4 linked regions of the Medicago truncatula genome follow. Each later gene encodes a partner of the first gene's protein in a complex. Links are inferred from orthologs where the notes say so. Each region holds a gene or a part of one and is shown on either strand. Other genes may lie near its edges. The genes, in order: short-chain dehydrogenase TIC 32, chloroplastic; protein TIC 20-II, chloroplastic; protein TIC 20-v, chloroplastic; protein TIC 22, chloroplastic.

Evidence for each region.
Region 2: short-chain dehydrogenase TIC 32, chloroplastic (region 1) and protein TIC 20-II, chloroplastic share a complex: the UniProt entries of both Arabidopsis thaliana proteins name them as parts of the tic complex. The link is inferred for Medicago truncatula from reciprocal best matches to the Arabidopsis thaliana genes Tic32-IVa and Tic20-II.
Region 3: short-chain dehydrogenase TIC 32, chloroplastic (region 1) and protein TIC 20-v, chloroplastic share a complex: the UniProt entries of both Arabidopsis thaliana proteins name them as parts of the tic complex. The link is inferred for Medicago truncatula from reciprocal best matches to the Arabidopsis thaliana genes Tic32-IVa and Tic20-V.
Region 4: short-chain dehydrogenase TIC 32, chloroplastic (region 1) and protein TIC 22, chloroplastic share a complex: the UniProt entries of both Arabidopsis thaliana proteins name them as parts of the tic complex. The link is inferred for Medicago truncatula from reciprocal best matches to the Arabidopsis thaliana genes Tic32-IVa and Tic22-IV.

What each region holds. Positions count from the first base shown.
Region 1 is NC_053042.1:48,849,773-48,856,677, forward strand, and holds the start of short-chain dehydrogenase TIC 32, chloroplastic, read right to left. Parts: upstream 3,021-6,905; 5' UTR 2,934-3,020; coding exon 2,828-2,933; intron 1,799-2,827; coding exon 1,567-1,798; intron 1,365-1,566; coding exon 1,285-1,364; intron 860-1,284; coding exon 706-859; intron 595-705; coding exon 516-594; intron 1-515. Other genes in the region: short-chain dehydrogenase TIC 32, chloroplastic, read right to left, coding at 4,378-4,542, 4,698-4,744, 5,696-5,780, 6,377-6,455. UniProt on the Arabidopsis thaliana protein: Involved in protein precursor import into chloroplasts. Part of the redox regulon consisting of TIC32, TIC 55 and TIC62.
Region 2 is NC_053048.1:37,298,441-37,304,034, forward strand, and holds protein TIC 20-II, chloroplastic, read left to right. Parts: upstream 1-4,267; 5' UTR 4,268-4,319; coding exon 4,320-4,949; 3' UTR 4,950-5,092; downstream 5,093-5,594. Other genes in the region: biotin carboxyl carrier protein of acetyl-CoA carboxylase, chloroplastic, read right to left, coding at 485-636, 1,268-1,324, 1,425-1,580. UniProt on the Arabidopsis thaliana protein: May be involved in protein precursor import into chloroplasts. Not redundant with TIC20-I, TIC20-IV or TIC20-V.
Region 3 is NC_053046.1:43,070,458-43,076,327, forward strand, and holds protein TIC 20-v, chloroplastic, read left to right. Parts: upstream 1-4,316; 5' UTR 4,317-4,471; coding exon 4,472-5,119; 3' UTR 5,120-5,345; downstream 5,346-5,870. UniProt on the Arabidopsis thaliana protein: May be involved in protein precursor import into chloroplasts. Not redundant with TIC20-I, TIC20-II or TIC20-IV.
Region 4 is NC_053044.1:50,226,068-50,233,243, reverse strand, and holds the start of protein TIC 22, chloroplastic, read right to left. Parts: upstream 3,025-7,176; 5' UTR 2,909-3,024; coding exon 2,594-2,908; intron 2,512-2,593; coding exon 2,449-2,511; intron 1,657-2,448; coding exon 1,582-1,656; intron 1,321-1,581; coding exon 1,273-1,320; intron 915-1,272; coding exon 855-914; intron 170-854; coding exon 98-169; intron 1-97. UniProt on the Arabidopsis thaliana protein: Involved in protein precursor import into chloroplasts. Imported into the intermembrane space via the Toc translocon. May be involved in the import pathway used by proteins without a cleavable N-terminal pre-sequence.

The sequences.
Region 1 (6,905 bases):
CAGATTTAATTAGTAGATAATTAAGCAACTAATTGTACATAACAAGCAAAGTTAAGGCTCTATCTCGATAAACAACTTAACTAAGCGCACTTATCGAATAAAAGTTCCTCATATAAGTGCGTATGTATGAAATATATCTATGATAAAAGATAAAATAAAGTCAAACTATTTCCATATAAGCTAGAAGTTGTTTTCATAAGCTATCATGTAGAGTTCATGGAAATAAGCTGAAAACAACTTAGGGACATATCATAAGTTGTTTTTATGGACTCTACCAAACAGGCCGTAAAGCCAAAGAGGTCATGCACTCATGCTATAGTCTGATTATGTTTAGTCAGAAATATCAGTTTCTTTGTCAACTGATAAAAGCTCAAGGGACAAAGAAAAGAACACATACCTAACTAAGGACATCCTTTTTATTAATCAACCAAAACATTAAGACAAGTGAGGTACAATAATGCTAACTTATATTGAATTATGGTAAAACATATAACATGTAGTAGAAGTAAGCATACCTTGAGATGCTTTGTAAGTTGGTTGGCATGTAATATGTTAGCAAGTTTTGACTGTCCATATGCACCCCATCTGCTGTAACTGTATAAAGAGGTCACATTTCCAAGTTTAATTCACCATGCAACTAATGTTAGCCAATTGCTAATAAAATGTAATCAAGGAAGAAAACAAAATCAATCACATGACATTTACCTTGATTCGTCATTGATTTTATCAAAACGGATTCCTTCAGAATATGCGAACCTATGAGCCTCTGAGGCGACATTAACAATTCTTCCTTCTTTCTTACTTTTGCGTGTTGTTTTCTTCATAGTATCCAACAAAAGATTTGTCAAGAGAAAATGACCTGCGTAATTACAATAATTCATAAATAAAATCAGAAATATTGCTTCTTCTCATCCTATGTATTAAAAGATACAGTAAAATTCTCAACAAAAAAAAACAGTAAAATAGTTACTTGATGTGTTACATAAGTTGATTGAGATGGATCAGAAGTGTAAATTACACATATTTCAGTGATGTACAAACTATCACTTTTATCCCTGATATTGTTAAATTCTTTGAATTAGAAATCAATAAAACACATGTCCTGTGCTCCCTATAAACTATTGCAAGTGGCAAAGTTCTCCTCCCTTTCCACTCTAGTGCTGGAAAGTTTGTGAATAATTCATATTACAAGAAGAGTAAAAGGTTATTAAAATTGATTAATGTCACTGTGTCGGTCATCAAATGAATTTTCCGGAGAATAAAACAGTAACATGCACCACATACCTATGTGATTGGTGGCAAACTGCAGTTCAATGTTGTCTTTGGACAACTTGAAAGGGCATGCCATAACTCCTGCATTATTTCTTACAGTTGCAAACAAACAAACAAGAAAAATTAGTACTAATGTGTTGACTTGAATGATTGTAATTAAGAAAGCACAATTGGAAGTTGGAACATAGAAATAACAAACATATATAATGAGACAGAACAAGTAACTAACAACTTCAATAAAACAGTAAAAATAAATCTGATAATTATATGACTAAATTAATCTCATTTTCTTACATCAAGATGTTCAGTGGACGACCAGAAGAATTATACTCAGATGCAAATTTCTTGACAGAGTCCAATGAGCTGAGATCTAACTCCATGGCATCAAGTTTGGCTGAGGGAATGTCCTTGAGTATTGTATCTTTGACATCTTTAGCAGCAACCAAGTTTCTCACACCCATAATCACATGCACACCGCGCAAAGCAAGGACACGAGCAGTCTCAGCGCCAATGCCGCTGGATGCTCCTGTTACCACAATGACCATATACTATACCGCATTAAAATAGTCACACATCTCGATATTTATTTATCAATGATTTCAATGTAGCATGCATATACAGGGTTTCAAATTGTGGTCGTGGTTGCATTACAATTTACAATCACAATTTTTTATATTTCAAAAATTTGCTGTCAAAATGTGCCCACAGTTAGATTCACAAACCATTTTAAAAAATCTTATGGATATGTAATCCAGAAGAAGATAAAGAGAAAAAAACTAAGAGATAAATCATGATTAATCTAAGAAAACTGTTTGCAAATTTCAATATTTTGAGATTGGCTGTAGATCATTATTATTTACTACCACCACTAGTAGTTTTAAAGGGATATTGCACCATCCAAGCAATTGGACTCAAGTGGTTAATACGCTTTACCAAAAACGAATTGTTAGTGTTCAGGATAACTTGAGTTTGATTCCTGGTGAAACAATTCTTGGCGAAACTTTTCTTACAAACTCCGGACCTTTCTCCTGAGTTAACACAAAAAAGTGGTATTGCGGAGGCTAAATTGGATAGAGTTAAATATGGGGGGTCTTAGATCTTTATCGAAAAAGCTTGTAAATAATTCATCCCAAAACCTATGCTTATGTGATGCAAAGCTACAAAGTAATACAATACTGCATAATTTTTTTATGCAATTTCTGGAAATCAAAATTGTATTCAACCAAAAGATATAATAAAATTAAACTATTTTCACAAGTTGTCCTAAAGAACTTATTAACATAAGCTGAAAACGTTTATGAATATAATATAGGATATTTATATATATAAACTCCCTCATCAATCTCACAAATGTTTATGTTAATATATAAACTCAAGTATGCAAATTGAAATAGACACTAAAAAGATTTTCGTGTAGATATAATAGTAGTCTTCATCATAATCTTTTTAGCGTCTGTTTGAATTTACATATATTAACATAAACATTCACGTACGTATAAAATTGTTTGCATGAAGAGATACCATTTTGGGAAATGATTAAGAAAGAAAGATCAACCAGTAACAATGGCAGTGAGACCAGTAGCATCGATTCCATGTGTGACTTGTTCAGCAGTTGAGTTCCATGAAAAACCAGAAACACCTTTCTTGCTGAATGGCCACATATTGCGTATCAATCTCTTTCTCTGCCGTGTGTCACAAAAGCAGTGACCGAGATATATTGCAATTGCAGTGCTTGTTGTAACTGACGTGACGCTACTATATATCTGGATGATATGGAAACACATCAAACTTTTTTTATCTCTTTTTATTATATCATATATGTATATATTGAAATAGTAGAAAAAGTAAACATTTTATCTTTGTCCATAAAAGTAATTATTTTATCTGTCGATATTCAATTTCTTCATTCAAAAAATAATCTAATTCCATTTCTGTATTTATTCAAACTTTTTTCTTTAATTTCAAATTATGGGAAGATTTTTTCTTTTTCCGTCTAAAATCATTAAATTTATTTCATTTAATTATTATTTTACAACTTATTTCATTACATTATATTCTATCTATTGAGATAAAAGGATTGAAGTATACTAAATGAGGAAAATGTTTTCTTCAATCAAATGATTTAATTTGTATACACCAACAACATTTATTTTTGAAAAAATGTCAACATGTTTTCTTCAATTCCTAATTTTTTTATAAACTAAAAATTTATTCAAGAAATAAAAAAACATAAACATAAAATTAGGGGGACATAAGTCTAACTCAATAAAAGATAAAAAAATAAAATAAAAAAGAGTTCCTCAAACGATATAAGAGTTCTTTTCTACCCTTAGTAATTTAGTGCACTGGATTGGATGTGGCCAAGTTGGTGAGGTGGAATTTAATGTGTGGTACTAAGTTGTTTAGTTGAGTTGTGTTGTTTCTACAATTACACTCACTCAGTCAGGGAGTTGGATTGATTGAAGGAATGGTTGTCCTCTTGTCTTCACTCCTCAGAGTGGGGTTCTTGCTGCATAAAGTGCTTGCCTTATTGCCTTTTTTTTTTTTTTTTTTTGGTAGAAGCCTTATTAATGACTTTATATTTGTACTCTACCTTGTGTTTAATATAAGCCATTTTGCCTTTTGCAAAAAATAAAAATGTAAAATATGAATTAAAAAGGTAAACTATGAATTTGAAAATCTGTAGTATAAAAATATTTCATTATTTCAAAAAAAATATTTCATGTTAATTACTCTATCCGTTTCAAAATACATACATTAACATCACAATGTCGCACAAGTGTATTTCCGGAGTCTACCACTTCACTCTAAATGAACAGCAAAACCTAATAATAATAATAATAATAATAAACCAAAGAACAAAAAGGGCAATATTCGGTTTGATTTAGGAGGACCATGTTTGGACCCTTTTACAAGAGGTCCATATTAAGGGACCCTATTTCATATTGAATTACAATCTTGTTTCAAACGTGACAATCAATTATGTTATAGATGCATTTCACATTGACATGAACAATGAATGTTATTTCCATTTTCTTTTTATCAATTAGTTTCGTGCACACACATTACAATGTCATTTTCATTCTTATACAACACTTGGTTATTCTATTTGTCCTTGATCAAATTCATGCTGAAATCCCAAAGTTTCTTAGCCAAATCAGCATCCTTCCCATGTGAACTTGATTTGGCCACATTATTGTCTGAAAAATATTCACCACTAACTCCCTTCACTTGTGGGTGCAATGCTACATAGCAGGTTGTGGCTGCCCCCTACATTTAGATAGAGGAGAAAGTTAACATGCAACTAGCAGAAAGCTTATAAAGTTATAATCTATGTTTAGTTAATAAATGTTTATAACAACCAATATTTATTTGACATGACCCCTCACATTTATAAATAGTAGGTCATAATGATTTTGACATACCTGTGGAACGTTTTTCATCACAAGTTTGCCAACCACATTTACTATACCTGTTGCATAAATCAAACATCAATAGTATATCTATAGAACTCAGCTACTGTCAATATCTCTACACATGAAAAAGCAAACAAACTTTATGGACACTGCAGAATGCCAGTGTGTAAACAAACAAACCAGAAAAACCACCCAATTCAAAATCATCAAATGTATTTATAGTAGTAGTCAGATAAACACAATGAAGTGCTTGATGACAATAAAGTAATAATGTAAATGGTTAGGGAAGAATAGTGGAGAGACTGACAAAGCATCCAACTTCTAGGATGATTTTATTGTTGTTGTACATTATGGATGACTTGGTGTACCAATCAAGTGCTGTAAATTACTCACTCTGTCCTTCAATATTAGTCAATTTAGCAAATAATGCACGAATTAAGAAACGTAATTAATTTTGTTGATTTTATAAAACGTATGGCTTACTTTAGAAAATTAGCCTTCTTTAATAGTATAAGAAAGATAAATTACTAGAATTGAAATAAAAATAGTACAAACAAACAAAATAGTTAGGAGGGAGTACAAAGTCTTTTTGTTTCAGACTCTCGGCGATCATGGTGATCATGTTTCCGATGAATGCTTACAAGGTTGATTGTGGTCTTTAACATGTCTATATTCTTCCTTGTTAAAAAAAAACATGTTTGTATTCTTCAAAATTCAGAGGGGGGCAACGACCAACCTTAATCATAATATTATTAGATGGTGGGTTCTGAACAATAATCATGTACCAAATATAGGATAAAACACCTAGAGCAATGTAGACAGATAAGAACTTATATCATTGTAAAATCCACCGAAAATTTCTTTAGGACAAGTAACATGAAGTTAACAAAGAAAGATAGTGCCACATAACGGTAGATGATACAGAACAAATAATTTAGAATGCCACATCAGAGGACTTGTATAATAATTCATAGACAACCTGAATAGTATAATGCTATAATAGTTACCGTTGATTGCACTGTTATGACGGTAAAGATTGGTGGCAATGCCTCCTGGATGAAGAGAATTTGCAATGATATTCACACCATCATCCTGATCAAAATGCAACAAGTAATGTTATAAATCAAAGATAATTATTGTGGCAAAACCATCAAAAGGGAGGGAGACTGAGAAAGCTATGATTATGGTTGCCAAAAGGGATGCAAAGTTTGCGTCTTTTTCAGAGACTTGAATGAAGGAACACCAACAACTAAAGCCTGTTCCAACTAGGTGGAGTTGGAATGGAGGCGGATAAAACATCCACTAAAGTTGATGTTTAACAATATTTGGTCATTGATATTTTATAATAAAAAAACCAGTCACCAATTGATAGGTGATTAAGATAGCAGATGCTGTAAAAAGGATTATGATTTATAAGTGTAGTTTGAAGACAAATGCTGTAAAAAAAACAAGTAACTCTAAATCAAAATTCTTCCATTCACAGTTCACACTGCAGAAGAAAGTAATTTTCCACAGAAGAAATATGCAGATTTAATGCTACAGCACTTCTAAAAATAATAAAATAGAACTTGTTACATCGAGATTAAGGTTAAAATAATGAGAGATAATAACACTATCAATAAACTACTTCACTGGATAACATGTTAAATAAGTAACACCACTATATAGTAGAAGTAAGCATACCATACCTTGAAATGTTTTGTAAGTTGGTTGGCATGTAAAATATTAGCAAGCTTTGACTGTCCATATGCACCCCATTTGCTGTAACTGTATACAAGGAAGCAAACATAATTAAATTGGAATAACATTACTCCAGTCGACAAATACTACAGAAACAACTTTTCCACTCTTAATTCTTCATGCAACTAAGATAAGCGAATTGTTTCAACTGTAAACAAGGAATTAAACATAACTATCTACACATAAGTACATAACACATCTCCTTTCAACAAGTATTACAAGAACAGCTCCATTGTTAGTTCTAGTTGTGAATCAGTTATAATTTCCAAACAATAATAAATGTCATGTAAGTGGTGGAAATGTAAAAGAGACATTTCAAGAGGTGAAAAGATGTAACGATATTCTTAGAGAAATGAAGTCAAGCTACTTGAAAATGTGGGATAATAATGTCCACTATGTATGCTATATTCATGAACGAGAGTCTCATCCCGTCCTGTAACCAAGGAAACCTGTGAAAAGTTGAAGCATCCCCAACCT
Region 2 (5,594 bases), on another chromosome or scaffold:
TGGTTAATGAAAGGTTGCAATATAAACTACATGTCTCATATATAATTAATGAGGGAAAAATAAGAAGGTATAATTAATGACGACACTTAATTTGATTTTTTTTTTTTTTTACTTTTGGTAAAACAACTACTACCTCCGTCCCTAATTATAAGACACTTTTGAAAAAATAATTTGTCCCTTTTTATAAGACTCCTTTGATATTTTCAAGTACATTAATTATTTCTTTACCAACATACCCTTATTTATTTTGCATCTTTTTCTTCAATCAACAATAAATATTATATTGAAAACATAAATTAACTCTCTCTTAAGGATAAAATTGTAAAAACAATAGTAATTATATACAAATTTAATACTACAACCAACTTTCTTAATCTCTGCAATTTTGGAAAAAGGCTCCTATATTTAGGGACGGAGGTAGTATTAATTTTGAACAGAGGAGTAGCATTTATCAAGTTCAAGATTGAAGCAGCCGGGTACTTACTTGACAAGACTTGCAATTTGATCAAAAAGTTCAGAGATTGATTCTTGATCTGCCAAGACTGAAGAAGATGGTTCAACTGAAGGTGCGGTCGGTGGTTCAACATCTGATTTGGCTTTAGGAGGCACATCATTAGAAGAACCATCAAGGGCAACCTTGTTGAAGCCAAAAAAAGAGACCAAAATCAGCATAGAAACATATGTCTATGTGGACGCAGTGCGCACATATCTATCAAGAGAACAGATTTTGGCAAACTTATAGTTTGCAGCATAAATGTATGTATTTTATCACAAACTCAACTGTTAATTTTCCAACCAATGATTGTAATTTTGTGTTTTTTTATGAGGAAAATTCAATCTAAACTCACATAAAGCTATGTTACAGTAGCACTGACACTTCAGATTTAAAGAAACAACTTAATTTGCAGCTTATAGCATAAGCACTTACGTATAAGTTACTTCTATAACAAAAGATAAAATTAAATTGAAGTGTTTTCGTATAATCTATAAGCTGTTTCCATAAGCTATCTTATAGAACATATGAAAATAACCTGAAAACAGCTTACGAACATATCATAAGTTGTTTTCATAAGTTCTCCAAAACAGTCTCTCAAGTGTTTATGTCAGTAAATTAACTCAAATAAGTCAATTCAAACAGCCACAAACATTAAAGGCCTCTCAGGTGGTGTCTGACACGGAAACAATACCGGCACTGCGTGTCAGTATCATGTTCGGTGTTCGTGTCTGTGTGTTCATAGATATGAAGTGTAAAAGGGAGAATGTTTACCTCATTTAGTTGAGCCTTAACCCTGGGGCATAATAGCATATGATTAGGTGGGCATCCCTGCACAAAGACATACATAAATTAGTGACAATTTGAATTAAAAAGAAAGTATAAATATAAATTTAGGAAGATAAAATGTGATATGGAAAGAGATAGATACCTTGGTGAAAAAGCGGAGAGAGTTGTTGGAATTAGGAGAGAGACGAGGGAAAGAGATGGAGGAATGAGAAAAGCGTGCAGATTTGGTGGAAGCTGCAGCTGCAACAGTGACAGTAGGAGCAGCAGAAGGTGAAGTGGAAGACAACGAGGAAGCCATGAAACTGAAACTGAAACAAGCAAGTTTTTTGATTGATGTCGGATCGATGAAATCTAAGGTACTTACTCTTTGTTGTGTTCAGTGGGGTAGCTCAACTACACTAGCGCACACTTACGATATCCAATGCATCTACTTTTTTTTTTTTTCAAGTGAATAATATTTTTCACTCTCTCTCGTAAGAAATAATTTACTTTGAAAACTCACACAAAAATAAAAAACAATTTAAGGTTCAAACTTTATACTCGATCAATACAAAGAAAAAAAAAAGTTCGGTCCAACACTTTCAGCTGAGTTGGGCATTGTAGATTCAAAGGGATGGGCCTGTATTTATATTTTAAATATGAAGAAGTATCAATCAAAAAAATTATTATAATTAATTATATTGATTAAGTTTAAGTTTCGAGTTCATGCCCTATTAGCACTCTTGAGAAAATGTAAATGAAAATCTCTTTGTAATTGTAATTTAAATATTAAAGACTTTCTTGCATTGAATTAAGCATCCCCTCACTTTAAATTTCTCATATAAAACAATATTATTATTGAAATCTAAATTTTATAGTTATATATATTCAACAATGTAAGTGATTGATAATATCCACCTACAACATAGTTGATCCTATCGAACCTGAGATTTTGTAGTTGATGATGTTGAATGGCTTTTAAGTAAGACATTTCCTTCAGTTGTTGCATTTATCTTAGTCGCCTGCGGCCTTCTTCTCCAAGTGAATCCGACGTTCAAATCAGTGAGTGGCATGGGCGGTAGGTGCATATGTGTAAAGTGAACGCACTTGACCTCATGCTTATGAGCCAATATTTATGGCGGCAATTTAAGGTTTTAGTCCTTGTACCTTTACCTGGGCAACTGTGAGAGTTTGGTCCATGGCAGATTTGTGCCACTGATCCATGTTGGTTGTCCAGATTTAATTAGATTGCTCTTGTTCCACACACCCTGCTGGTTGTTCATCTTCAGTATGTGTGCTCTTATGCCACAAGCCTCTTTAGCTGTTCATTTGTTCTCATTCGATTCCGTTCACTCCTATGCCGCAGCCCCATGTACTCCTTTTTGCGAGGAGCCCTTTAGAACTTATTAGTTGTTGGGTGTCAGCCCATACCAGAACAGTTACCCCCCCCCCCCCCCCCCAACTATTAGTTGATAGACTCGAGTGATAGTTGCGTATGAAGGTGGATGGGAAGCCCTTGTTGTTTAAGTTCGTTCATACGTCATTTCGTTTCTCTGCGAATCAAAATATGCTTTGGGAATAACCTTTTATTTAAGAACATCAACACAATCATATAGACGACAAGCATCGCTAACATTCTCGTTTATTATTGCATTGTACATGTCTTTAACTGTGCGACCACCTCGTGAAGCTTGATTCCAAGATAAAGTACCATTCACGTTAACTTACAACGAAACCTTAGCCAACGAAGTCCCGATAAGGCATCCAAAGGATGTTGTGGTCTACATGCACTCGTGAAGAGTCAGATCATACAAAATCATATACTCGAAGCATTTTGGAGCCCTTCATTTTATCCAATGATTGCCTGACCATCGTGCCTCAAGGGTAAATCCAATACATCCACACAAGTTCTATAAACAGGTGTGTCACATGGAAAACAAGGTACACACTCTCATTTCAAGAAATCTTCTCAATGCTCGTTGAAACTTCACTGACTTTAGCGTTGGGGTATCTTTGCAGGTACACCCTCTTACATTCATGAAAAATCTGCTCTAACCACCGTGAACCAACACAACAATTGTTTCACACCACCTCCAATAGACTCTTACATTCGATGACAAGAACAAATATAAAACACGAAAAAAAGATGTACATACATATACACCATATGTGAAGATATTACATCTCGTCTTATTTCCAAAAATCATTAAAAAAGTACTCAAAAGATATTCAATTAATCATATTATATTTTATAATCTCAAAAAAAAGAAAAAAAAATTACCAGAAAATAAATAATAGGGTTAATAGTGCTTTTCACCCCTGTAATATATGTAATTTCTGGTTTTCGCCCCCATAAAATTTTCGGTTTGATTTTCACCTCGTAAAAATTTTATTTTCCGGAAAACACCCTTAATAGGCCATTCAAAAACCAAAATTTCTTGAAAAAAAAATATGAAAATGGCCTATTAGGGGTGTTTTCCGAAAAATAAAAATTTTACGATGGTGCAAATCAAACTGAAAATTTTGTAGGAGCGAAAATCGGAAATGACATATATTATAGGGGTGAACAACACTATTAACCTTAAATAATATATACTTGAAAAATAATATAGTTTTGGAGAATGCTAATCATTGTCCTTGGGACATTAGATAAGGGGATAAAAATAGAAATATAGTATTAGAAAATAGTGAAAAATGATAAATTTAACTTTTTAAAAATCAAAATGTTGAAATCAATGCAAACATGTTACTTTTGGGCAATGGTTAGCAAGACCCTATAGTTTTTGAGAAATGATATTTGTACAACAATTTTGGTACAACTTTTGTACAACTTTCTCTCTCATACTCACATTATATTTTTATTTCTCTCTCCAATATTTTTTACCAATGAAAAGAGAGAATAATAAAAGTTGTACCAAAATATTTGCCAAAATATCACTACTCATAGTTTTTTACCGGCCCAATGAAAGTAACTGCATGCAGCAGCAGATAAAGGATCTAAAACAGTTGTTTAATTCCATTTTGCAGAAGTTACCAAGAACCGATTCTGAAACCAAAAATGGCTTCCCTTTCTATTCTCCACCGTCCCTGCATTTTTCACCACACCCCCAAATCCTCAACCCTAACCCTAAAACCAAAACCCAATTCCCTTTCATTCTCACCCTTAACTAAACCATCACTCAAACTCAAACTCAGAAACGGCGTCGTTAAAGCAAGCACATCCACACCCGCAGCACCAGAACGGTTAATCTCAATCGCCGCATACGCACTTCCATTCTTCAATTCCCTTCAATATGGTCACAACATTCTCACCCAATACCCTAAAGTCGCACTCCTCTTCGACCCAATCATCCCTTTCCTCTCATTCTACAGATCCCTCCCTTACGCTTCGTTCATAGCGTTCTTCGCGCTTTACTTGGGAATTGTGAGGAACCCTATTTTTCCACAGTATGTTAGATTCAATGCTATGCAGGCTCTGACATTAGATGTGCTTCTGGTTCTTCCGATGCTGTTTCAGAGGATTTTCTCTCCTGGGAGATATGGATTAGGTTTTAAGATTTTGGTTTGGTCGCATAATGTTGTGTTTGTTTTTAGTATTCTGTGTTTTGTTTATAGTGCTTTGTGTTGTCTTTTGGGTAGGACTCCTTACCTGCCTTTTGTTGCTGATGCTGCTGCTAGACAAATCTGAATATCATATGATAGATTATAGGATTACTATGTGTTGTATTGAATTGTATCAAACAAACAATTACCTCTCTTTTGCTGTTCTGTTAGTTATTTTGGGTTACTTGAATTAATGAATGAATACAATTAATTATCCTTTTCAATTTATGGAGTGTTTGATGTATCACATTATTTGTGGTATAAGATGAAATGTGAAATGAAGTTAGATTTTATAAACTTTTATGGGTTATTTTACGATTGTGAAAAACGTAACTAAACAGTGAATCCATGATAACTCACTAAATTCTTTGACAAATAGACAACATTACCCGAACAAAATTCACTTCTTGGTTTACATGGAATTTGACGTTGCCCATGTACTTCCTAATGAAAAGTACTAGAAGTGGCAACAACTTATCACTTGTTATGCAGTTCTGAGTTTAAGAAATCTCATGATTTATGGATTAAAATTTGGAAACTTCAAGTTCAAGAGAGGATCAAATTCTTTCAGTGGCTCGCGGTTCATGGTAGGTTGATGGGGTAGTTCTTGTTGTAATTTGTGTGGGGCCGAGTCAGGAACTATTTTACATGCTCTGAGGGATTGTTCTTATGTAATGGTGCTTTGGCTTAATGTTGTTAGATTACAGATCAAGGATAATTTTTTTGCTGT
Region 3 (5,870 bases), on another chromosome or scaffold:
AGCGGAGAGGACTCATGTCCTGGAGCACTAGTTGTTCACAGCGGTGAGGGCTTCGGTCCTGATGAATGCTTTAACCATTCAAAAGCGGTGAGGGCTTCGGTCCTGTTTGGTACCACATGCATAATTGTATATTTTGAGGAGTCTTAGTGGTGTTGTCATGTCTTGCATGAGTCTTAGCGGTGGTGTCGAGTTGTTGCATGAGTCGTTGTTGTTGGTTTTAATTATCATTTGGTTGATGTTGTTAATGATGATATACTTATATATTGATGAATTATTTTTATGACAGGGTGATAGATTTAATTGATGAGTTAGATATCTATTATTGATGATATTGTTGATTATGAAATATATACATATATTGGATAATTGTAGTTATCGTCGTTGTTGGTTGAATTAGTAAGTGTTACTAAAGTTAAAGAAGTAAGAACATTATTGTTAAATATATGTAATTGTTTATATTGTTATGATGTGATGATTATGTTGTGTCGTTTATATTATTATGAGAAGATGTTTATGATAATGATTACGAAGTTATGATGACTGTTTATGGTGTTGAATATGAGGTTGTTATGATGTTACATGATGATGATTATGAATGTTGTGATGATGATTATGTGATGTTATCTATGAGTTGTTAAATGTACTTGATGATAGTTATGTTAAGTTGATAAGTTGTCTTTTATTTATGAATTGCTAATGGAATGTTTGATGAATAATTATTATTATGGAATGATGATGTTACGTATAGTTGCTAAGTTGTCCTCTATTCATGAGTTGTTAATAAGGTGCTTTGGTGGAGAATGTTAATACGAATTAATGATGTTGTTATGTTGTATATGAACTATGAATATGATGTTGTTACGTTGTTTATGTCATTGATTATGAAGTTGTCATGTTGTATACGAATTATAAGTATGACGTTATATGATTATGATTAAGATGTTGATTATGAAGTTAAATGATGTTGTTTATGATATCGAGTTATGAATGTTGATATGATGAGTACATGATATGGTTTAGGAGTCGTTAAAAGAATTATTATTACTAATTGATGGAGTTTAAGTTGTTAGATGCATTTTGATGAATTATATATTATTATTATTGATTGTGAATCTCACCCCTTCTGCTTGAAAATGTTGCCCTTCGTATGGGTAACTTGCAGGTAATAAAGATTAGTAGGAGTGGTGGCTCAACTGTCTAGGACTCTGATACGTACGGGATGGGATTTAGTTATATTTATTTTCATTCCTTATGTATCAATTTTGAAATTATGATGTGGAGCCTTTTATGGTCTTTTGAACAATGTTGTTGACTTATGCTGAGGCCTTTAGTGCCATAAACTGTTGTTGGATGTTCACGATGTTATTGATTTGAAAACTATTCCGCTGCTATGTTTTCATATTTTATCAAGTTGTTTTAATTAAATAGTATTATTTTCTATTTAAGAAATTTTGAAATGACGTGTAACATGCCCGTTGTGGAACTACTCTGATGAATATTTGTTATATAATTGTTTTTGGGTAACGGGGTGTTACAAAAAGTGCTGAAAGAGATAGTTTTCTTTATATATAGTATAAATACTATATATAACTAGCGAAAAAACGGGCACGTGACATGTGTAAATTATGAACGGTATTTTATATGAAATTTTGATTTTGATTAAAATTATAAGTACAAATATTTGTGAAATTAAAATTGTAATAAACCAAAAAAAAATCATGTTTATCTTTTACCACAACAACACAGTAGTTTAACAAATATAATATAAATTCTTATCTTTTTTTAATACCACCAAGAATGTAACATTAATATAGGAAAATTTGTTTAAGGGTATAATTGAAATTATAAAAAATTCAGCCCAAAGTCTCTATTCCCTTCATATATAGTATATATAGTATTTTGTCAAAAAAAAAAAAAGTATATATAGTATTGTTCATGTTGTAGTGGTATATTTCCTATTTTAATGAGATTTCATTTTTCTAATTCAAATTTAATATAATATTATTAAAGGATAAAATAGTAAATAAAATAGGCTTAATTGCACTTTTGGACCCCTAACTAATTTAAATACAAAACAGCCCCCTATGTTTTGATTTTTTTGCCAATTTTGGACCCCAATCCATTGTTGACTCGGTCAACGATGACGTGGCACCCAAAGTGAGGTGCCACTTGTCAATTTTTTTTTTTTGCCTTGGGGGTCCAAAATTGTTAAAGAATCAAAACATAGGGGACTGTTTTGTATTTAAATTAGTTAGGGGTCCATAACCGCAACTTTTGGAAAGATAGGGGTCCAAAAGTGCAATTAAGCAAATAAAATATTTTAAATGAATAGTAAAATCAATAGTATATACATATAAAGTAATGTTTTTATGCCACATGTTGCCTTTGTAATGCCCTGAATTCTGGTAGAACCGTGCACTTGCGGTTTTATCTCATCAGTCATCGAATCTATATAAAAATATGAATTTATATAAAAGAATGATATTTAAAATATAAAAAAATTAATTGAATGAATTCATTTTTTTTTTTAAGAAATATTTACTATTTCATAAATATACACATATAAAATGATTTTTTTTTTTTTATACTAAAGCTAGGTTATAACTTATAAGACCTTGCAAAAAAAAAAATTATTACCTTTAAACAATTTATCTAATTCAAATGAAAGATAGTACCTAAAATAAATCATAATTCGGTGGATCACAAATGAAACATTGTTGTAGGTCATCGAATCTATATAAAAGTATGAATTTATAAAAAAGAATGATATTTAAAATATAAAAAATCAATTGAAAGAATTCATTTTTCTTAAGAAAAATTTACTACTTCATAATTATACACACATAAAATGATTTTTTTTTTTCACTAAAGCTAGGTTATAAAGGCACTGCAAATAAAAATAAAATAATTTGCTCACTAATAACATAATTTTGAATTCCAAATTATTTCATAAAAAACGTAGAGTTTTTCTATTCACACCCTATATATTTCTGGTTACACCCAGTTTTTTTAAAAAGTTTTTGATAATACCAAAATTGTCCTTTTATATAAATTTTCTTAAAATCTTGATTTCATTCATTGTCACTCTAAAATTCCACTCTCTTTCACCCACCAACGATCAAACAATCCTGATGTTCAATTAATCGTTATGGAAGATTAAAGAGTGAATCAAAACATCTTTCATTCATACTCGATTGCATATAAATAAGTGAATTTTTTCTTCTTTTTCAATAACGCTGGTTTCAATTTTCTTCTTCTTGTTCAACTGCACTATACGACAGTTTCAGTTTTACATTGTTGAGGTTAACTTAAATTCAGTTTAAGTAGGTTCATGTAAACTTAGTTTACATAATCTACTTCAACTTAGTTTACATAACCTACTTAAACTGAGTTTAAGTATGTACACTTAAACTCAGTTTACATGACCTACTTAAACTAAGTTTAAATGTACATACCTAAACTGATATTACGTATAATCATTGAACAAGGTTGAACTTTTAGATGTACACTTAAACTGAGTTTACATGACCTACTTAAACTGAGTTTAAGTATGTATACTTAAACTCAGTTTACATGAGCTACTTAAACTAAGTTTACATGATCTATTTAAACTGAGTTTAAGTATGTACACTTAAACTTAGTTTACATGACCTACTTAAAATAAGTTTACATGTACATACTTAAACTGAGATTACGTAGAATCGTTAAACAATGTTGAACTTTTAAATGTACACTTAAATTCGGTTTACATGACTTACTTAAACTGAGTTTAAGTATGTACACTTAAACTCAATTTACATGACCTACTGAAACTAAGTTTACATGACCTACTTAAACTGAATAGGGATCTAGGGTGTAACCAAGAAAAAAGGAATATGCTTTTTGAAAATTAAATTTTATGGAAAGGTAATTTTGTCATTTTGGGGTGCAACCAAAATTAAACAGGGTGTAATTAGAAAAACTCAAAAATGTATTGATCAAGTGGTTCCAGAGTACATTTTAAATAGGTGGGAGCACCCAGGTTCGATTCTCAGGGGTGATAATTTTAATTTTTAATGATTTTTGCCAAGCTGAAAAAGAGGTTTCGAGAGTGATTGGATTAGAAGTGAAATTTAATTATTGTGATGGTTTAAATCGTAAAAAATCATTAATTTAAGATGAAGTGAATATGCAAATAATAAAATACTTGCTAAATTTTTGCAAAATAAAATAATAAATGTTATTATTCTAATGGAGTATACATGAAAACTTTTGATTGGTTTGGATAAATTGCTCATGAGTTTTCAAAGGCAACCTAGACATCTAATTGAAGTATAGACCATACTAAGAATACTAGTTTGAAAGAGAAACACGTTCTACCATACCTATCCTTGTCCTTCTTCTCTTTGCCCTTTTCCCACTTTCCAGTTCCTATCTTTACCTTACCCTCCCAAACTACCATTCATTCATTTTCAAGTTTGAAGCTTTAACCATGGCAAGCTCCACCTTCTTCTCCTCTGTAGCTATATCATCTCTCAGTCACTCACGAAAACCACTTCAATCAACCTTTCTCCTTTCTTCACCAAACCCTTCTTCTCTTTTCACACTTCCAAAGAAATTCACAAAATCCAACAAACTCAGAACCCTAATTGTATCCAAATCCAATAACAGTGATTCAGCTGATGCCAGTGACCGTTTAATTTCAGCTCTTTGTTACTTCTATCCCTTTTTTGATGGCATTCAATATGGAAAATTTGTAATCACTCAATTTTACCCAATTCAAGCCATTGTTCAACCATTGATTCCTGCAATTAGGGTTTTTAAAAGCTTTCCCTTTAATGGGTTTCTTGTGTTTTTGACACTTTACTTTTTTGTTGTCAGAAATCCTAATTTCAGTAAATATGTCAGGTTCAATACAATGCAAGCTATTGTTCTTGATGTGCTGTTGATTTTTCCTGATCTTTTGGAAAGAGGGTTTAATCCAAGAGGTGGGTTTGGATTGGATTTGTTGATGAGTTTGGATAGCACTGTGTTTTTGTTCTTGTTGGTGTGTTTGATTTATGGCTCTTCTTCTTGTATTTTGGGTCAGCTACCTAGATTGCCTATTGTTGCTGATGCTGCTGATAGGCAAGTTATGTGAATGTAGTTCATTTGTATTGTATAGAAACTTATTGTTTAAATTCAGCTTATTTCATAGTGGAAAAAATATTGATTTTTTCACTTAATTAATAGCAAGCCTAGAATCTTGTAAGGAAACAATTTTATTTGTTTCTCATTTTGCTGTATTGTTATATGATTTTCAAATTCATTGGTGAATTTGAGACACTGCTGAACTTCAATACTAGTATATTGTTTATTGAATAGAACTTATGTCTTTAGTTCTTATTACATTGTTGATTTTTAGTTTAAGCTATAGTGTTATCCTTTGAGAACACTAAGGATATTGAGGCCTGTCACTGTTCAATGTGATGATTGCATATGTTGCTTTGCAATGATTGCAGTGTTATTATGTAGATTTTTCTGTAATTTTCAAACCTACGCCGATCCTAATGTGATGCAGTTGCTGACAGTATTGCAGCTGCATTAGTTGATGCATTAGTCGATTTGGTGTAGCCACAATTTAAACCCATAGGTTATTTGTTAGGGAGAAAAGGAGACATAGATCAATGAAACAGATTTCATTTGTTTCGTATTTTGCTGTGTCTTTATATGAATTTCACATTCAGGAGTTTCTTTGTTTGGCTATAGTTTTTGGTGAATTTGTGACACTGAAAAACTTCCTTTACTATATAGATTGTTGTTAATTGAATAGAACTAATGCCTCTAGTTCGTATTAGATTGTCGGTTTTTTAGTTTGATCTATACTCTGGAAACAAAGTGTTAATTTTTCA
Region 4 (7,176 bases), on another chromosome or scaffold:
TCACCATAATTGTTTTCAAGGTCATATAGTTTCATACAGAGTAACAAGTTTCTGACAGACTAACAAAAACAAGAGCAAGAGATGAGAGATTCTATACCATTATTTGCTTGGAAACTCCAGGACCTTTAGATACCCTGGAAACCTTAGATAGTTCTTGTTCAATATCTTCCTGTCCATTTAAACAACAAACGAAAACTATCATATGATTATATTCCATCAAGCTACATGCCTAACTATGATTTGGGGTTAATTGCACTTATGGTCCCTCTCTTATTGCCAATCTGCAATTAAGGTTCATCCTATTTTTCATTTCTCAATTTGAGCCCATTAATCAAGTTGTCCCTAAATGTTTAACAATGAAGATGATGCAACAGTCAAATGCTGACATGACATTGAACGTGTGAAGCTAACACGGCCACCAAGTGTTGTTTGTATTACACACACATTCATACTTGCTATATTACGGTAGCCCGTTGAGTTGGTGTAGTGGTTAAGAATGTTAGTTTAAAAGCCTAGGTGTGAATTCGGGTCCTAAGCATTCTACTTTGCTAAAAAAAAATAAAAATAAATTGTTTATATAGCCATATAAGCATCATATGTGTACAGCAGACATGTAACACCATATAAGCACTCTATAGCCATGTCAATTTCACATATTCAATGTCACGTATTTGACCGCCACATCATCATCATAGTTAAAAATTGGATGACAACTTGACTGAGGAACCAAAATTGTGTAATTAAAAATATCGAGGGACAAAATTTCTAAATTAAAAATAGAGGGACAAAATTGCATATTGACCATAAGAGAGGGACCAGAATTGCAATTAAAGAGACCAATGGGTTAGACAAACCTTAGAGAAATATACAGGGCAATAACGTTTATTCTTCTTCTTCACAACCAAAAGTTCTGACTGTAAGCAAATGTGATTATTAGTCAATAGGTTAAAAATTAACATGATCAATTACTACCAATATTTTTCAAATATTTAAATTAGACTCCAGATGGGCAGATACTAAAATAGTTCGATGGTTTTTAAGCTGTTTGCCAGTCTTGGAATTTATATGTTCCGTACCATGCATTGGCTGCAGTTAATTACTTGGCAGTAAGTTCAGTGAAAATAAAATATTATGAATTCCACACTTATAGCTACTGATATATACATTAACGAAACGACAAACACATGTCAATCTGTATCTCCTGCCCACACCCTCACCATTGCCCAATCAGTCCTCTGAAGGACTGGAGACTGCCAAAGTAAGAAAACATACCTGAAAAACAGGAACTCCATCAAAACCTTCCTTGTTGGCGGCTCTGAGCTGATAAACACAACGAAAATGAAATTAAACACAATCCAACAGTTCAGCACTTGAACATATATGCTACCTGTTCAGTCACAGAATTCCCACACCGCAGCTATCATGCATATTACTGAAGCTTATTTTCCTCCATGATTTACATTTAAAACTGATAAGACTTAACTCATTCCATAGTGACACTGGTATAGGACTCAGATGATGAAAATACTAGTTTGGCTTTTAAGTAATATGTTGTGTGCAACAATTATAACTGGAACTAACCTCTAGTGCATTCCTTATTTGAAGTGGATCGGGTAAAAATCGGAATGCAATACCTTCAACCTTCAACAAGTATACCTATAACGCAGGCAGAAAAGTTGTTACAGATACAGGATAAAAACCATACTTATTATGCTTCAAAAAGTATCTGATAGCAGGTTCCCCCTTACCCTTTATTAAAAGGAAAGGTGTGACATTCATGGTTGTAGGTGCTATGTCAGTAGCACATGGTTCTAAATGCTGATAGTAACATAGCCCGTATTGATACGAATTCAAAGGGGGAAAATCACGTAGAATCATTTCATTTACAACTGATTCTTAAAAGTCTTGAAGGTTTTTAACAATGAATTGTTTCCAACATAATTAATTAATTACTTTGACTCTCAATATGATAGAAGCCAAACCATAATTTCATTGAGTGCCATTGATACATGAATTAGGCCCTTTTGGATAAAAAAAAAACTTATTTGCACCTTATAGTACAAACACTTATCATGATAAGCGCTTATGTATCAGCTTATATAAGCTATTTCTATAGCAAGAGATAAAATAAAGTTAAATTGTTTTATTTTATTTTATTTGGATTACTAAGTTAAATTGTTTTTGTTTATGCTATAAACTGTTTTCATAAACTATCTTGGACAACTTATGAAATAAGCTGAACAAAACTTATGAAAAATGTCATAAGTTGTTTTCATAAGTTCTCCCAAACGGTTTCACAAAATTTATGCCACTAAATAAGCTCAAATAAGCCCTTAGTGAATTAAAAGCATTCGAGTACGAAACACAGGATGGTTTCATTTTCACATCAACAAAATGTGATAAAACCAGGATTAGCAGGAGATAATTATGAAATGGAAAAATAACTACCTGTTCAAGAGTTATTGGAACAACCTTAGCATTGCCTCGAAATTCATTTTTCCTTGATCGAACCTAAAACAACGAACAAAAAAATCATTAACAGCATGAAATCAAGAAAATAAAAAATGAACAAATTACTGAGAGAGGAACTTACCTGAGCAAGGAAAGCTTCAGCGTCTTCTTGGCGAAAGCAAAGCAATCCGATGGACTTAGCACCTTCAGCATCAGACATAAGTACGAATTCATTGTTGGAACTACTGACGGTGTAAACGGAGGTTCCGGCGAGAGATTTGGCGACGTGGTTGGAAGTTAAAGTAGCGGCGAAAGCCGGTTTGGTGCGAGTGTGAGATTGAATTAGGGTTCCAGCGAATTTTCTTGTGTCTTCGAAACGAGTTGCAAGGTGGTTACAGTTTTGATGGATGAACCGCGAAAATGATAGAAGCGGATTCCACTGTCCTTGTGACTCCATTTTTGTTTCTTCTACTAACTTCTAAGTTCTAATCGTGGATAAACTACAAACTCGGATTTTGTCAAAATTGTGGGTTAAGCGTCTAGTTTGTTTTGGCCCAATAGTGAATTAGAGTCGAGTGGTTAATCTTCCTTGAGAAACAATTGATGTATAAGATGAGTTCATAGGTTTGATTTAACATTCGTCAAATCCTTTGTCGAAATTGTCAATTATCTCTTCTGAAATTGAACTTTGAGTGAATTGTCAATCATTTCTTCTCCGAAATTGTAACTTTTGTGGAAAATCTTTCTCGATTTTGCGAAACTTCAAAAACCTCCTTGATTTTGTCAGACGTATGTTGCACTCTTCTCTGATTTTGCCATTACTCTCTATGACATGCAAAATCGATAGACACATTTGACAAAATACTGGAGGTTTTGAAGTTTCGCAAAATTGAGGGAGTATTTTGACGAAAGTTGCAATTTCGAGTTGGTGGTAATTGAACTTTTGATCATATGTGTAAAAGACTCAAATCGCTTAGTATTTGGACTAGTTCATTGGTTATTTTATAGTAGTTCATTTTTTGCCGGTGCATGAACCAGATAAAAAAATATAAACGAAATGAATTTGATTTAAACATTTGAATTTTCAATTAATATTTGCAAATTGTTCCCTAATTATTTTTTATAAATTGCAATTTGGCCTCTATAAATTTTAAAAAAGATTAAATTAGTCATGAAAATTCATCTGTATAGTTTTTCAAAATTTGTAAATTAATCCCTCTAGTTTTACAAATCGTTACTCTAGCACCATGAGTATAAAGTGGGATATTGAGAAAATTGTTGAAGACAACGATTTCAAGTTGTTGAAGGTGAGGATACAAGTAGTCTTGACTCAACAATAGTGTACATAGGCATTGAAGGGTGATGGTGCATTTGTTGACCACCATATCACAAGCAGACCAAATCGAGATTGGGACAAGGCCAAGAGTGTGAATGTCTTGTGTCTTGAAGACAACGAAAATGAGGGATATTGTTGTACCAAAGTAGTATGACTGTGGAATTCTTGTGTGTTATGCTTTAATTGTGGCTGAGGAGATGCAAGACTCGAAACCAAGTAGCTTTATAGAAACAATTAAGAGCAAGGAAATCTTCAAGAAGACGTAAATAATCACTCCAAAGGTTGAAAGGCTATGATAAAACTTGTGGAACTACCTAAAATGCCTAGTGTAGTAGGATCCAAGGGCCATAAAGAGACTGGAAGTAATTCTGAGGGTTCAAGAGGTAAATATGAAATCTTATGAGAATACATGTGTAGTTGGAAGCAAGGGCAAACAACAAGGTGGTTGATGGTTAAAGTGGCATCACCATCAATTTAAGAGCAATGTGGATAATTGTTCAATATGCCTTGAAATTGTGTTTCACGAAGACTATGTGCTACTACCTCATGCATGGGGCACATAGAAAAAGGATACGTTGGGCACATGGATGTGCTTTGCAATAGTCTTCTTGCTACTGCTCGGGGCACAATGCTCCATCTGTGGAGCACATGTACACGTTTTTTTTTTTTTTTTTTTTTTTTTTGTATTTGGCAAGTTTTAAGGGTTGAACACATCTTATAAATATGACCTCTTGTTTAGGGTTTAAGAGTGTGAAAAAAGACAAGCTTAGAGAGTACAAAAGAGGGAACCTTTAGAGAATCAATTGACTAAACATTAGTGTCTATTGGGGAGAAATTCTAAGGTCGGGGAGCCCATGTATCTCTTTGTAAGAAACTCTTTGATGGTGGATTGGAGAACAATTATCTCCTCCAAACATATATCGATTTGGACCGAATTGGATAAACAAATATTGTTGTCTTCTTCTCCTCTTCTTCCTCCTCCTTTTATCTTATTTTATTGTATGTGGTTGTTTGGTTACTTTAATAACTTATTGTTGCTAATTTTGTTCCACACATCGAAATATTGATGTAAAAGAGATGCGGATGTTTTTCACATTCGATCAAAATGACATCTCATATATTTGGTTCAACTTGTAGGCTTGATTTTTCTTATTTGTTGGAAAACTCTTAAGATTGATGTTTATTTTAAGGTAAATCAATAAAGTTGCTTATGCCTTAACTTAATGGCTATATCTTTTTTGGTTACAAAGAAAAAAGGAAGAAAAAAAAAACTAAGGTCTCACAAACCGAGTACCATTAGCATCAGCAATTAAAAAGGGGCCTAAATCTGTAGGGGGGTTTCTACAAACTGTGAGGTCGACATTGTTTCTAGCACCCGTCTTCACAAACCAGTCCGCACAAGAATTACCTTCGCGGTAGATGTGAGATATATGCACCTGCCAATTACGTTGCAGCAGCTTACGCAACAAAGCAACCTCATTACCATAAAGATGATATAATGTGTTTGCCTCATTAATGAGTCTAATAGTTTTCAAGGAATCAGTAAAACATTGAACTTTCCGGTACCCTTCTTCCCAACACAACAACATACCTTTAAGCAAACCCATCAACTCGGCATACAAGATATTAGACCAACCAACAGATCCACTAAGCCCAAGCATCAATCGACCTTCATGATTTCGAATGATGCCTCCAAAGCCCGCTGCACCTGGGTTAGTGAGAGCGCTCCCATCAACATTCAAAGCAATCCATCCAGTATCCGGTCTCTTCCAACAAACCTCACGTGCAACCTCACTTCCACGAGCACATGTGCCCCCAATTCCAAATGCCTTGACAGTGTGCATGTAAAGAGCATTACACTCTGCTACAATTATAAAGAATGGTGTCTTTATGCCATCAAAAATGAACTTATTTCTGGCACACCAACACTTCCACATGATTAAAAGTGGGAAAATTCCATGATTTTTAAAACAATTCTCCACCCAAGAACCTAAGGAGCTGTCATCCGCAGGTGGAATAAGAGAAGTATTGAAGCACTTCTTCCAAACCTCTTTAGCTATTGTACAAGTCAAAAGACAATGGATCATAGCCTCTTCTGATGCATTACAAATAGGACAAGTCGCTGATGGAGCTATATGACGAGATACAAGAATTGACTTTGTTGGTAGAGAACTAAGGCAAATTTGCCACATAAAAAATTGAATATTGGAAGATACCTTGAGTTTCCAAATCCAATTAAAGTTGTGGTTGTTTTCAACATCATGGAAGCGATTCAAAAGAGTGTGATAAGCTGATTTTGTTGAATATATTCCTGTAACACAATGGTTTATTACATGATGGCTATATCTTTATTAATGGCCAAATCCAATTAATGGCTATATCTATAACTACTAGTTTGTATCTCTTTATTAATATTCATTATATTAAATGGTTTATTACAATGAAATGATTTAGTTATACTTTCTCATACTTATTAAATAATCTAACAACCATGTACCAAAAAAAAAATGTAACAACCCACCTTTAAATTTAATAACACTTCTCATCTTTTTCCAACACATGTCTATTGGAAATAGATCATACTATTTTTTGCTGTTGATAAATTCCAGATTCTTGATCTATACTAGATGAAGGATAAGCGCGGATATTTTTATTATTAGTTGCTATTGGTGTATGCAGACCTACCAAGGAGAATAAATAAAGACGGTGGTTTTTATGTTTAAATATCAGACTAATACAAAAAGAAAAAGGCTCACCGCACAACATCGTGCATGCAGTTTAATCTCTATTTTTTTAAGAAGAAAAATCTTCCACCAGTAACAGTGTAACATTTAGTAAAATTTACACTTCCCTATTTTTCAATCAGATATGTTAATGGACATAGAAAATTGATAAAAATACGGTGTCTTTGTGTGTTTGTATATTTTGGTAATTCATGTAAACCGCATATAAAATAAAATAAAAAGTGAGAAAGATGAAGTCAGTAAATAAGCTTGATTCAAAAAGAGTGGCCGACTATTTTAGTAAAAGTAGGGGAGATATTATGGCATGTTATTTTTTGAAAATTCTCATATTAAATTTATTCAGAACATGCAAATGTGGCCGCTTACGCGTTAGCAATATAGCCTCGTTTTCAACTAACTCCTAAATTTATGTCGATTTAACCAAAATATACTTTATATAGTGTTCATGTCAAAATTGTGTTCAAATAACATCACTATTACCGCAAAAGGAGATTCCATAAAAAAACATTACCACAAAAGGAGATAATTTTATAAGTTTGTGTATAGTCCATTTTAGTCAACATGCATTTCTAATTTTTCCACAGAGGATCGAATATATTCTAACGTGTTTTTCTAACGAAGTAAAAAGAATGTGTTTGTAACCTA